Oryzias latipes: one gene and its partners. The protein of the gene in region 1 purifies or fractionates together with the protein of each later gene. This does not show direct contact. Links are inferred from orthologs where the notes say so. Each region holds a gene or a part of one and is shown on either strand. Other genes may lie near its edges.

Region 1 (3,651 bases):
GGGGCGGGGTTGCTCTGCCCCAACCGTCCCACCCACAACTGATGGTTTAATTTCTGAAGAACTCCCGCCGAAACTATGTCCTAGAAAATGTCACAGACGTTTTGATTTTCATATTCATCATCAAAAGACCACTGGGAACACTTTACTAGAGTAGATCAAAAGATGATCAGAGTTTAAAGAAACTCCTGTGTGAATGTCAGAAGAGTGTTGAGGATTGGCTGAGTTGGAAGTACCAATCTAAGTGTATGAAAGTGACAAAAAATATTCATATATAAACCCATTTTAGCTGTTTTATGTTGTTACTCTGGTAGGAATTAGGAATGGATGTATTTGTATGATTTACTATTTTGTGTTTGTCCCCTCATAGCTGAGCTCTTTGAGAAGCCGGAGGTGTGCGACATTAAGTTCCTCTTCCTGGTTGGAGGTTTTGCTGAGTCGCCCTTGCTGCAGCAGGCCGTGCAGAACATGCTCCAGGGTCGCTGCAGAATCATCATCCCTCATGACGTCGGTCTTACCATCCTCAAAGGCGCCGTGCTGTTCGGCCTTGACCCCAGCGTCATCAAGGTCCGCCGCTCCCCGCTGACCTACGGGGTGGGCGTCCTCAACCGCTTCGTGGAGGGTAAGCACCCGCCAGAGAAACTCCTGGTGAAGGACGGGACACGCTGGTGTACCGACGTCTTCGACACCTTCATCGCCGCTGACCAGTCTGTGGCGTTGGGTGAGATGGTCAAACGGAGCTACACGCCAGCAAAGCCGTCCCAGCAGGTCATCGTCATCCATGTCTACTGCTCCGAAAAGGAGAGCGTGAGCTTCATCAGCGAGCCCGGGGTCAGGAAGTGCGGGACCCTGCGCTTGGATGTGAGCGGAACAGAAAGCACAGCCCAGCGCCGCGAGATCCAGACACTCATGCAGTTCGGTGACACAGAGATCCGGGCCATGGCGGTGGACGTTTCCACCGGGCGCACGGTCAAGGCTGGCATTGACTTCCTAAGCCATTAAATACAACCTTCAGAGAGATTCTGTTCCAGAGGTCCTGGGAGCAGCGAGAGGGAAATCATGCAGCTTACACTCAAACACACAAGAAGTGGTGATCCGCGGCTCAGTCACTCTCTGATGAGCTCCAGTAAACAAAACAGAACAGCTGATCTTAGGCTAAAGCTCCTACCAGAGAATTCTAAACAAAATCAGTTTTAAAACTGTTTGTTCATCCATGGTAGTACAGTGTTCCCTCGTTTATCGCCAAAGGTGCGTTCTAAAAATAACCCACATTGGTGAAATCTGCACTGTATACAACTAAAGTTGTTTTAAGGCTGTAAAGCTGCTCGCTACACACTTTATGCTCCTCCATCACACAGATATGAACATTTTCTCTCCCGTTGAGACTCAAAGTTTAAACCTTCATAGAAAAATAAGTCCAGTATTATAGAATAAAAACAAAGATCTGATCGCGAGGAGGAAGTTGATTGACAGTATCCACAGCCAATCAGAACACAGCACAAGTTAAAAAACAAAGCATGAAAGGTTGCTCTGAAGAATTCTGCAAAACGGCGAGACCGTGAAAGATGAACCGCCATGTAGCGAGGGAACACTGTAAGACCATTTCATCCTCCGTCTAAAGGCGTTGTGTTGAGCTTGAAGGCTGACTCATTTTGATTCCTGATCCTTCCAAAGCCATAAAGTGTTTCAGGACAGCAGTCCAGATTGAAGCTGTGAATCCACCGGATGGTTGTTCTTCTGAGTTTCTTAGTCACAGCAGGTCATTGTTTAGCCGTTCAGTTTGCTTCCAGCTTCACGCTGTTCAGATGACAGCTCTGCGTTTATTTATACGCTTTCAATTTATGGAGAAATTAGTATTGGGTTTAAAAATGAAAATACTATTTAGTGTGCAGTTTTAGGGGGCTGTTGCTGAAGTTCTGCTTGATTCCGTCCTTTGTCTGAAGCACGTGTCTGTGGTTTCTTTGTTTCTTAACCGTAGCATCAAATTCCTCTCTTTAAGTCAGACAGTTATTGAGCCGTGGAGCTTTTCTTAGTCGTACTAACCACAAAAGCAAAACTTTTCTGAAAGAAAACCAGGAGGAAATCAGAAATATGAAGCTAAATTGATGAAAGAATAAGAATGTGTAACTGAAAAAACAGAATAAATGGCTAACTTGAAACATGTTTTTAGCATTTATTATTATGTAATCACAAGTATTTTAAATCTATAATTTATTATGTTTAGTAGGTATTTTTCCTACTTTGAATGGCACATTCTGCCTTGTTTTGCTTGTCTTGAGGATGTTAAAGTGTGCAGTTGTGGTCAGCGACTGAAGGAAAGCTGTAGTTTTGACTCTAGAGTCAAGAGAAATGTGGAGAACAAGTTTGGTGTTTTCCAGATGTGAGCTTGCAAAGCTGCAAGACTTGGAACACAGGAAAACAAGTCAAAGGCCTCACAAAAAAGTAAGGGATTAATCTGATTAACTTATCCGTTTGTTAGTTTAGCTTTCTCACTTTCTATTTCTGCAGACTGTTTTGTTCTCCTGATGCAAAGCTCTGCAGACATTTGAATCCTGATCCTGGAAAGTTTTCACTACTACTCCTTGTTAATGATGTCCACTAACAGCAAAAGCTGCTACCTGAAGTCCTGTTTTCAGTGCTGCACATTTGATGAGGCAGAGAATACAATCCCACACGTCAGATTGTGTGGTCAACAAAGCAAAGTGTGGTCCCCTGAAGAATGCCAGGAAAGTTTGACCCACAAATGGTGAATTCTGGGGCTGAAAGTGGAGCCATCAAACATGCCTAACTGCCGCCTGTATGCGCTCATGCATCTGCGCTGTGCACATACGCTTTCTCCGCTCTCCAGCATCCTCAGCTCTGCTGCGATTGCATGACGAAGACGCCGAGCCAAATGTAACAAGGGATTTCTGTAAATACAAAAAAGGAAATACTGTACAGATTTGTAACATTGTTTGAGCAGCTTTAGAATCCGAGGACGTGTGGTTTTTCATGGACATTTCACAGCTGTTTTTGGCACCAGCCATGCATGCCGGGCCAAGACAGATGGATGTGTGGCCTTGTTTTTATTTCTTGAATACCTCGTTTTAGGGATCTTCAGTGACGTGGCTTTGAATCTGTTCACATTCATCCTGCATCCCATCAATTGCCTGAAGGTGTTTGACACAGAAATGACGAGCACGCCAGTTTTCCTCTATCACTAGAAAGAACTGAAGCCATGGACGTTGGTATAGCAATGAGACTGTACTTATTTTTACACTGTGCACCAGTTCCATCCTCTCTATAATGAAAACTTATTTAGGAAATCCTTACTTCAACTGTTTGATATGGACACCAATTGCTGTCAAGATTACTCAGCCAATCAGAACACAGAGGTTCTTTCTTCTGAACCAGAAATCACTGAGAATCAAACTGAAGTCATAGACCAGCATTAGATCCATGCACCCAAAGAGTTGACACTGCAGGTTTGATCTTTACTGCTGCTCCCCACCTGCACAGGAAAGGATAGGATCATGTATAAAGGTGCGGTAAAAGTCAACACCGACCCCTCCCTTTCTGCTGTACTCTCCTGGAGAGGCCTTTGGAAGACCAGACAGAGAAAAGAGGCTCTTATAGTCTAGAAAGCAGTCACTCGTCCAACAGCAATCACTTCAA
Region 2 (3,651 bases), on another chromosome or scaffold:
TTTAGCCGCAGCTTCTGCCTTTTGGTCTTCTTGTTTGCTTTCATCTGTAGTTTCTGTAGGAGACGAGGCTTCAGCCGGAGCTTCTGTGGCTGTGTCGGATTTTTCTTCTTTTGGAGGGGTTGTCCCCTCTTCTTTAGACTCAGGTTGTTCCTCGACAGGAGTAGCCGATGCCTCATTCTTGACTTCTTGTTCTGAGTCAGTGTTCTCCTTAGTTTTCTCTTCTTTTACATCATTTTCCTCCTTTACATCAGCTGTCTCGTTTCCCTTTGCTGCTGCCTCCTCCTCCTCTTTCATCCTCTTGATGCTGCTTTTCTTTCTCAGGTTAGAGAAGAGCCCAATAAAGAAAAGCTTCCTGAAGGGCGATATGGTCTCCTTTGGTGTAGGAGGGGTTTCACTTTCCTTTTCAGCTTCTTCTGCCTTGGCTCCTTCAATGGACGCTTCAGCAGAAGCACCATCAGTGGTTTCTGCCTTTTCTGGATCCTTAGATGTTGACGCCTCCCTTTCTGTTTCCATTGTCTCTGTTTTGCTGTCCTCCTCTTCAGTTTCAGTCTCCTTCTCCTTTGCTAGTTCTTCAGTTTCACTGACCTCCTCTCCTTCTTTGTCTTTAACCGTCAGCAGCTTCACAGGGTCTGTTTCCTCACTTTTATCCTTCTTAACTGTGAATTTCAAGCCCACAATGGTAAAGATTTTCTTGAAGCCAACTTCACCTGCATCCTCTCCTTTTTCCTCTGTTGACTTGACTTCTATGGATGAAATATTGTTTGCCTCTGGAGACTCTTTATCCAGTTTCTCCCCATTCAGCTGGGGAGTCACTTCATCTGGGAGAGTGTCCATATTCTCTGGGACCTCTTCTTTTGGAGCCACAGTCCCACCATCTGGCTGGCCCACTGAAAAAGAAGGAAAGAAAGATGTTTCTGTGAAATGCTGATTCAATTTTATCAAATCAGTTGATTACTTGTTCATGCAGTCCTGTAATCCTGCAGAAGCATCACTTATGATGTTCACATGACCTTCATACAAAGTTACGATTTACAACATTCATTTGAACAAATTAAAGAAAGGATTAGGAAATCAAATCACTTGCATCTACCATAAATTCTGCTCTGTGGTTAATTCTTAAACCTTTAGCGAAACTAGGGAGTCAAAAGTTAAGTAATGTGAAACAGAAGTTTCTGACTGAGACTCCAACTTTGTGGATTTAGAAATTTAATTACAATAAAAAATCTGTTTGGACTAAGTTGCTGTAAAAAAATAGTGATAAACTTCCATCAAATGAGGCAGAGTTCACTTCATTTATTTGGTCTGATCTGCACATGAGCTGCTTTTAAAACCCAGATTTAAACAATTACCGAGCAGTCACTCCTTGGAAGTTAAACATTTGCCTGACAAGTATTGCAGTTAAAGTTGAGATAACAGACACAAACCACACATACAAGACGTCTCTCTGCCATGTCTGTCTGTGTTTTGACAGAAGGAGGCGTGGGGGGAATTATGGCCTGCCAGATGCACTGCAGTCTGGGAAAACCTCACATCTGATAGCCATGGGCTCTCCAGAAAATTCCCTAAATGTTTTATGTCTAGGTATCAGCTTACAGGATTACACATAAAGAAACATATCTGCTGTTTTAAGGCGTGCAAACTGTGGGAACCACTCTGAAACTGCCATTAAACAGCAGGGCAGCATAAAGACAATAAAGCATATTGGGATGATGGTTAATTATGCGAGTAAATCTCTTTAATTTATGAAAGCTGTTGGCTTACACAAAAATGTACAGCTGGGTTCCCACATCTGCCTAAATAATTTCCTAAATTATAGACGTAAAGCTTTTCAGAGTGATTCCAAGAAAATTAAAATATAAAACAGCTTGCTAAATTGACAGATAGATGAAATTAACTAAAACCTTTGGATTTGAACAAAGGAAAAGATCTGAATGAAGGCACGCCCGCTTCCAGGGAGGAATCCGAGCAATGTCTCACACCCCATTTTTAAAGAAAATTATTTTGGGATGCCCTAAATATAAACCGAGTTTGAATTCCAGGAGGTCCGAGGAATGTTTATTTGTTTTTTCATTCACGCCCCATCTTGTCTCCGGCCATGATGCATTCAAACCAAACAATACAGGACTCCTCACGACCCCTCCTTAAAATAAAGTCTCAGTCCCCTTGACCCACATTCCACCACAGCAGGATGGATAGTCAGCCCCCCTCCCTTGCTAAAGCATACACAAACATACAAGCACAATAGACTGGGCCCTTTCTGCTCTTTGAAAATAAAGAACTTCTAATTTATGATGCAGAAGTTTAGTAACTTTCTCAAAGCACTAAAAGCACTGGGGTGGTTCTAATTGACTCAATTGCCTTATGCTGGGTAGGGGGGCTCATGCTCCCTTTTGGGTGTTCAAACAGTTTTAATGCCGCGAGCTGACCAGAAACTTCACAGAAGCAGGACAACTCAGCATCTAAAGACGTGTGTGGGAGTTGCACATCGCACTCATAATGAAAGAGGAGCCCTGTTGATTTAACAGACTACCGGCATCTTTCTCTCAGCTTTTTGATCTTTGGCTCCCTGCTTCTTCTTTGAGCCGCACAGCTGTTAACATCTTTCAAGTTGTTTTTTTGTGCAAAAGCTGGGGTACTTGGGGAGAGCTGGTTGCATGGGGGTGACAGGGAAAAGATGCAGGAGCATGGGTGGGGTTAGCCACTTCACAGGGTGTCACATATCTCAGATGCTCATAGTTAAAATTCCCCTCTCTGCTGGAGATGGGCAACACTTGGAAGCCAAAAACCGATTGTCTCCAGTGAAGCCAGATAGTGTTTCCGATGTGGTCGCTCCAACTTTGTGGAGGGAGGGGGGGTGTTTGGTGGGGGTGGACGAGGCGGTTGGAAGTTTGAATAGCTGCTATTCTCTGAGCAAACTTTGAACAAATGTATGCAAATCCTTGACATAGTGTCTGCAGTTTGGACTTAGACAAAAGTGGTCAGTTAAAATAAAGAAAGCAGAGCAGGGTCACCCCCACCCTCCCAATCACCCTCCCCCCAGCGGAGACAAGACACAGCGACCCCTTTCTGTCTTCGAGGTGTGGTCAGTGTCTCTGCTGATTCGGGGGGGGGGGGGGGGGGGGGGGGGCAAACCAACAGCTTCACCGTTATTCCCTCATTTCAGACAATATCCGACTATTGAATCAGCAGGAAAGGGGTTGAAACCATCACTCCTAGCTGGAAGTTGTGAAGAAGAATCAGTGTTGGAATGCAATTGATTTAACATGACACCCCCCTCCTCCCTCTTTCCCTGCTCTGGTTAGATTTAATAACCCCCACTGGGAAATAGGATCCCACTCTAATTTGATAAAACACCTCACATGATGTGATGCTGCCTCAGAGGGAAGTTAAATCCGCCGTAGGATCATCAGTCAACTTTTGGGACGAAGACTTCTGATGGACATTCAAAGCGTGGTTGACTTTTCACCCACTGAAGATCTGCAGCACTCAGAGCAAAAACCGCCTCCGACTGAAAACCACTCATCCGTGCAGCTCATTCACCAACCACAAAGCCTTTCAACCACACCCTCAGAACAACAATGCTTTTGACCATCAAGGATGTTTTGAAATCATATGAAATCGTAAAATTATAGGGGGGAAAAGTGATACAAG
Region 3 (3,651 bases), on another chromosome or scaffold:
GTAACAGCATAATGGATTCATGGACTCGTTTTCAACTTTAAAGACAGTGAAAACAGCCAAAACTAAGAACAATTCAGTCGACAATGGGAAAAAAAAGGAGCACCATACGTTACATGCATGACGTGCAGAACTGAAAGTGCATGCATCACTCCTAAAATTTCAATAAATGTCACAGACTAATGTGAGGCCCGCGTGTTTGGCTTAAAATACAAACCTCTGTCACAGTAATGTCTCCATCAAAGGCAAAGTCAGTACGTTCGCTGTCCGTCTGCTTCCGCAGAACAAACCAATCCAAGGGGCAAGCAGGGAAAAAAACCAGAAGGACCCAACTTGTAAACGTGCAAATATGTCATTTCTGTCAGGAAAGCGTCTTCATAACCACAAATGGAACAAATGGGAATGTTCTGACTGCTGGAACTGTGAGCAACACATCATCAGACAAGAACAGCAGAGGAACTGGAAGCAAACAAAACGACTAAATGCAAATGAAACAAACAAGCAAAACAGACTCAGAGGAAGATGAAACCATCAATCAGTCACTTAGATCGATCGTTGATGAAGATTTTTTTCAATTTGGAGAGCGCCTGGTTTTCTCCACAGCCATGAGGGTTCAGGGTCGGAAACATGAACACTTCACAACCTCCCTCCTCCCTGAGACGTGCCGCGGTCGCTCCGCTTCACCGCGCCTCACGCTGCATTGATCAGATGGAGGGGAGTGGCCAGATGGAAAAAAACATTCCACAAACATCTAGCTGGGTTTGCTCTCCACTTCTGCTGCTTTGCTGGAGCCGGACGGCGCCGCTGAGAGACTGATTGCATGAGTGAAAGTGGCTGCAAACATGGACAGGTCTTGCATGCAGCTGATGGTCTGAGGTGCACACCATGGTGGTGGTGGTGGTGGGGTGACTCTAACCCTTATATTAAGGTAACAGCGAGATGTGTTAGGCGCTGACATCACTCTGCAGATAATGAGATTATACCGGAACGACTTTATTTTAGGGGAGTTAAAAGAAAGGGTGGCGATTTTGTGACTAATCCTTCCTAAGGTGGAGCAGCCAATGAAATGGTGAGACTTGCAGCTCAACCTCTGTAAGGCGGCGATGCAGATGATGAGGTTTGCTACAGGATGGGAGCATGACTGGGCAGAGAGTGGGACACTGGGACACACACACTGTCTGCAGGTCAGCTCTGAACAGGTGAAACAGGACAGTTATGGAGTTAGGTGGAGTAAACAGACCGCCGTGGGCGGGCATTGGTGTAGACAGGCGTACGCACACACCTCCTCTTCCTCTGAACTGTCATGGTCATGGTAGCCCTGGGCTATGGAGGCGGTCAGGGAGGCTGCCTTGGGCTCCAGGTAGCAGAGGCACAGAGCCAGGGGAAAGGAGAGGGTGAGAGCGTAGGGTACAGAGAAGGAGGTGGAGAGGAGGAAGAAGAAGATGAAGAGGAAGCAGGGAATGAGCGATGGGGACTTAATGGGCAGGAAGTTTTGCGCGCAGTGGGGGAGGAAGCTCATCTCAGAAAGGTCTGGAAAGGTGATGTAACCATCGTCATCCAGGATGGATGACAGGTGAGGCAGGTGTAGGGAGAAGGAGAAGAGCGTGCCACTGCGGCTTTTGCCCTGCTCCAGCCTTTGCTTTCGCGCCGAAAGCAAGAGCTCCTGCTCCTCCAGCAGAGCGGCTTTGCGGTCGGCGCGAGCCTGCCGGCGGCGGCACCCGATGCCGCCTTTGGCTGGACTGACTGATGAAGCCCTCTTATGGGCGCTCTCCCGGCGCCTCCGCCGCACTTTGGTGGACAGAACAGGAGATGACGGCAACGAGAGCTCAGAGCGGAGCGGGTCGGCTGTGTACGCATGAAGGGGGCGCTGATGGAAGGAAAGGTCAACCGAAGCGCGACGTGTGCGTCGGTGAGGAGAAGCAAAATGGGGAGGAGATGAATGCACACCAGCACGCACGTGTGTGTGTGTGTTGTGGGGTCAAAGGAAGGACAAGGGAAAAAAAGCAATTAGTAAAGCGTACACAAGATGAGAAGCAGTCAGACCTAACCTACAGCAGCGGCATGTAAAGGATTTTTTAAAGAAAAGAAAATTAAGAAGGTTTCCAAAAGCAAAACTGCCCCTTTATCCCACTGTTTATTTGACAGCCCCCCCTCCCAAAGTGAGAACAGCGCTGTGGGCGCCTGAATGCTGCAGAGGTGAGACGGCCGCTTACCTTTGGTTCCTGTGATGTGGCACCTGCCTCATGCGTGTCAGTGGAGTTCTTCTGAGCATCCTCCTGCTCCGTCTTCTCTTCCCTCTCTGTGGTTACCGTGGTGATAATGGCGGCGGCTTTGGTATCTCCGCCGGCAGTGCTGTCCTTCATCAGAGTGTCGTGGTTCTCTGCAATGGTAGCTGGAGCCCAGAAGGATGCAGGTATGTTAGAAATGTGAAGAGCGGTTCACGTGTGCACATGCTTCTTATGATAAGGGGGGGAGGGGGGTTAAAAGGTGCTTGGGCCGCCTCACCTCCATCTAAGCTGCGGGACATGTTGTAGCGCTTGCTGGAGGTGCGTTCAAAGAACGGCGCCGGTCGTATGATCTGGGAGCTGGCCCTGCGGGTCTGAGCCTGCGTCCTGCCGCTGTAACGGAACTTGGAGCCCAGGCTCAGGAACTTTTTCTGAGGGGCCTCTGGAGACACGAGCCTGTAACCGGTTTCAAATGTGCCCATTAATCAAACTGGAAATAACAGCAGAATTAAAACAAGCAGTGAAAAACATTGAAACTCTTCGTTAGAACCATCTCCAGGGAGCCTTCGGTGTAAACTTTCCACGTTCTGCTTAAAGCAGCAAGTCTGCATGAAGTTCTAATTAAGAGCCTAAACTCTGCCTTTCCTTCCCTACAGAGAAATCACACACAGCGACTGAATAAACTGCATGGTTGCACTTCTGTCATCACCCAAAGCCAGAAAACAGCAGAGAGCCGCGTGCACTCCCACCATCCGTCTTTCATTAACAAGGCATCCCATCCTTTCCTGTCGACCGACTTTAACCTGATGTTTTTCAATAAAGCTGCACCTGCTGCAGTTCCAAAGGGTCACACTCCTACCTGAAGAAGGTGTGGTGCTCCACACACACCTTCCATAGCCGTTTGGCAGCACGGTGGTTTGGGAGCTTGAAGCCAATTGTGCTTTCAAACTGCTCGAACTGCAAGATAGGAAAATAATGAGATCAGTTCCTGTCAAATGATATGCAGAACAGCCTGAAAACCCCATGATGTTTGTCAGATAAAGAACATTTATCAACTGCTTTTCACAAAACTAATCCAGACTTTACTCATTTTTTTAACAATTACAAGGAAAAAAGTCTGAACTAAATAAACATCATTAGACTAGTTTAAACCATTAGACTAGTTTAAATCATTAGACTAATTTAAACCATTAGACTAGTTTAAACCATTAGACTAGTTTAAACCATTAGACTAGTTTAAACCATTAGTCTAGTTTAAATCATCAGACTGGTGTAAACCATCAGACTAGTTTAAATCATTAGACTAGTTTAAACCATTAGACTAGTTTAAACCATTAGACTAGTTTAAATCATTAGACTAGTTTAAACCATGAGACTAGTTTAAACCATTAGATTAGTTTAAACCATTATACTAGTTTAAACCATTAGA

Evidence for each region.
Region 2: the proteins of heat shock 70 kDa protein 12A (region 1) and akap12 purify together in Homo sapiens (affinity purification with mass spectrometry; 3 studies listed by BioGRID and IntAct, with this or other methods). This does not show direct contact. The link is inferred for Oryzias latipes from reciprocal best matches to the Homo sapiens genes HSPA12A and AKAP12.
Region 3: the proteins of heat shock 70 kDa protein 12A (region 1) and epb41l3 purify together in Homo sapiens (affinity purification with mass spectrometry; 4 studies listed by BioGRID and IntAct, with this or other methods). This does not show direct contact. The link is inferred for Oryzias latipes from reciprocal best matches to the Homo sapiens genes HSPA12A and EPB41L3.

The regions. Positions count from the first base shown.
Region 1 is NC_019873.2:4,649,142-4,652,792, reverse strand, and holds part of heat shock 70 kDa protein 12A, read left to right. Parts: intron 1-367; coding exon 368-999; 3' UTR 1,000-3,651. UniProt on the Homo sapiens protein: Adapter protein for SORL1, but not SORT1. Delays SORL1 internalization and affects SORL1 subcellular localization.
Region 2 is NC_019882.2:8,913,445-8,917,095, reverse strand, and holds part of akap12 (A-kinase anchor protein 12), read right to left. Parts: intron 888-3,651; coding exon 1-887. UniProt on the Homo sapiens protein: Anchoring protein that mediates the subcellular compartmentation of protein kinase A (PKA) and protein kinase C (PKC).
Region 3 is NC_019875.2:4,930,852-4,934,502, forward strand, and holds part of epb41l3 (band 4.1-like protein 3), read right to left. Parts: intron 3,180-3,651; coding exon 3,082-3,179; intron 2,679-3,081; coding exon 2,503-2,678; intron 2,390-2,502; coding exon 2,211-2,389; intron 1,865-2,210; coding exon 1,280-1,864; intron 272-1,279; coding exon 215-271; intron 1-214. UniProt on the Homo sapiens protein: Tumor suppressor that inhibits cell proliferation and promotes apoptosis. Modulates the activity of protein arginine N-methyltransferases, including PRMT3 and PRMT5.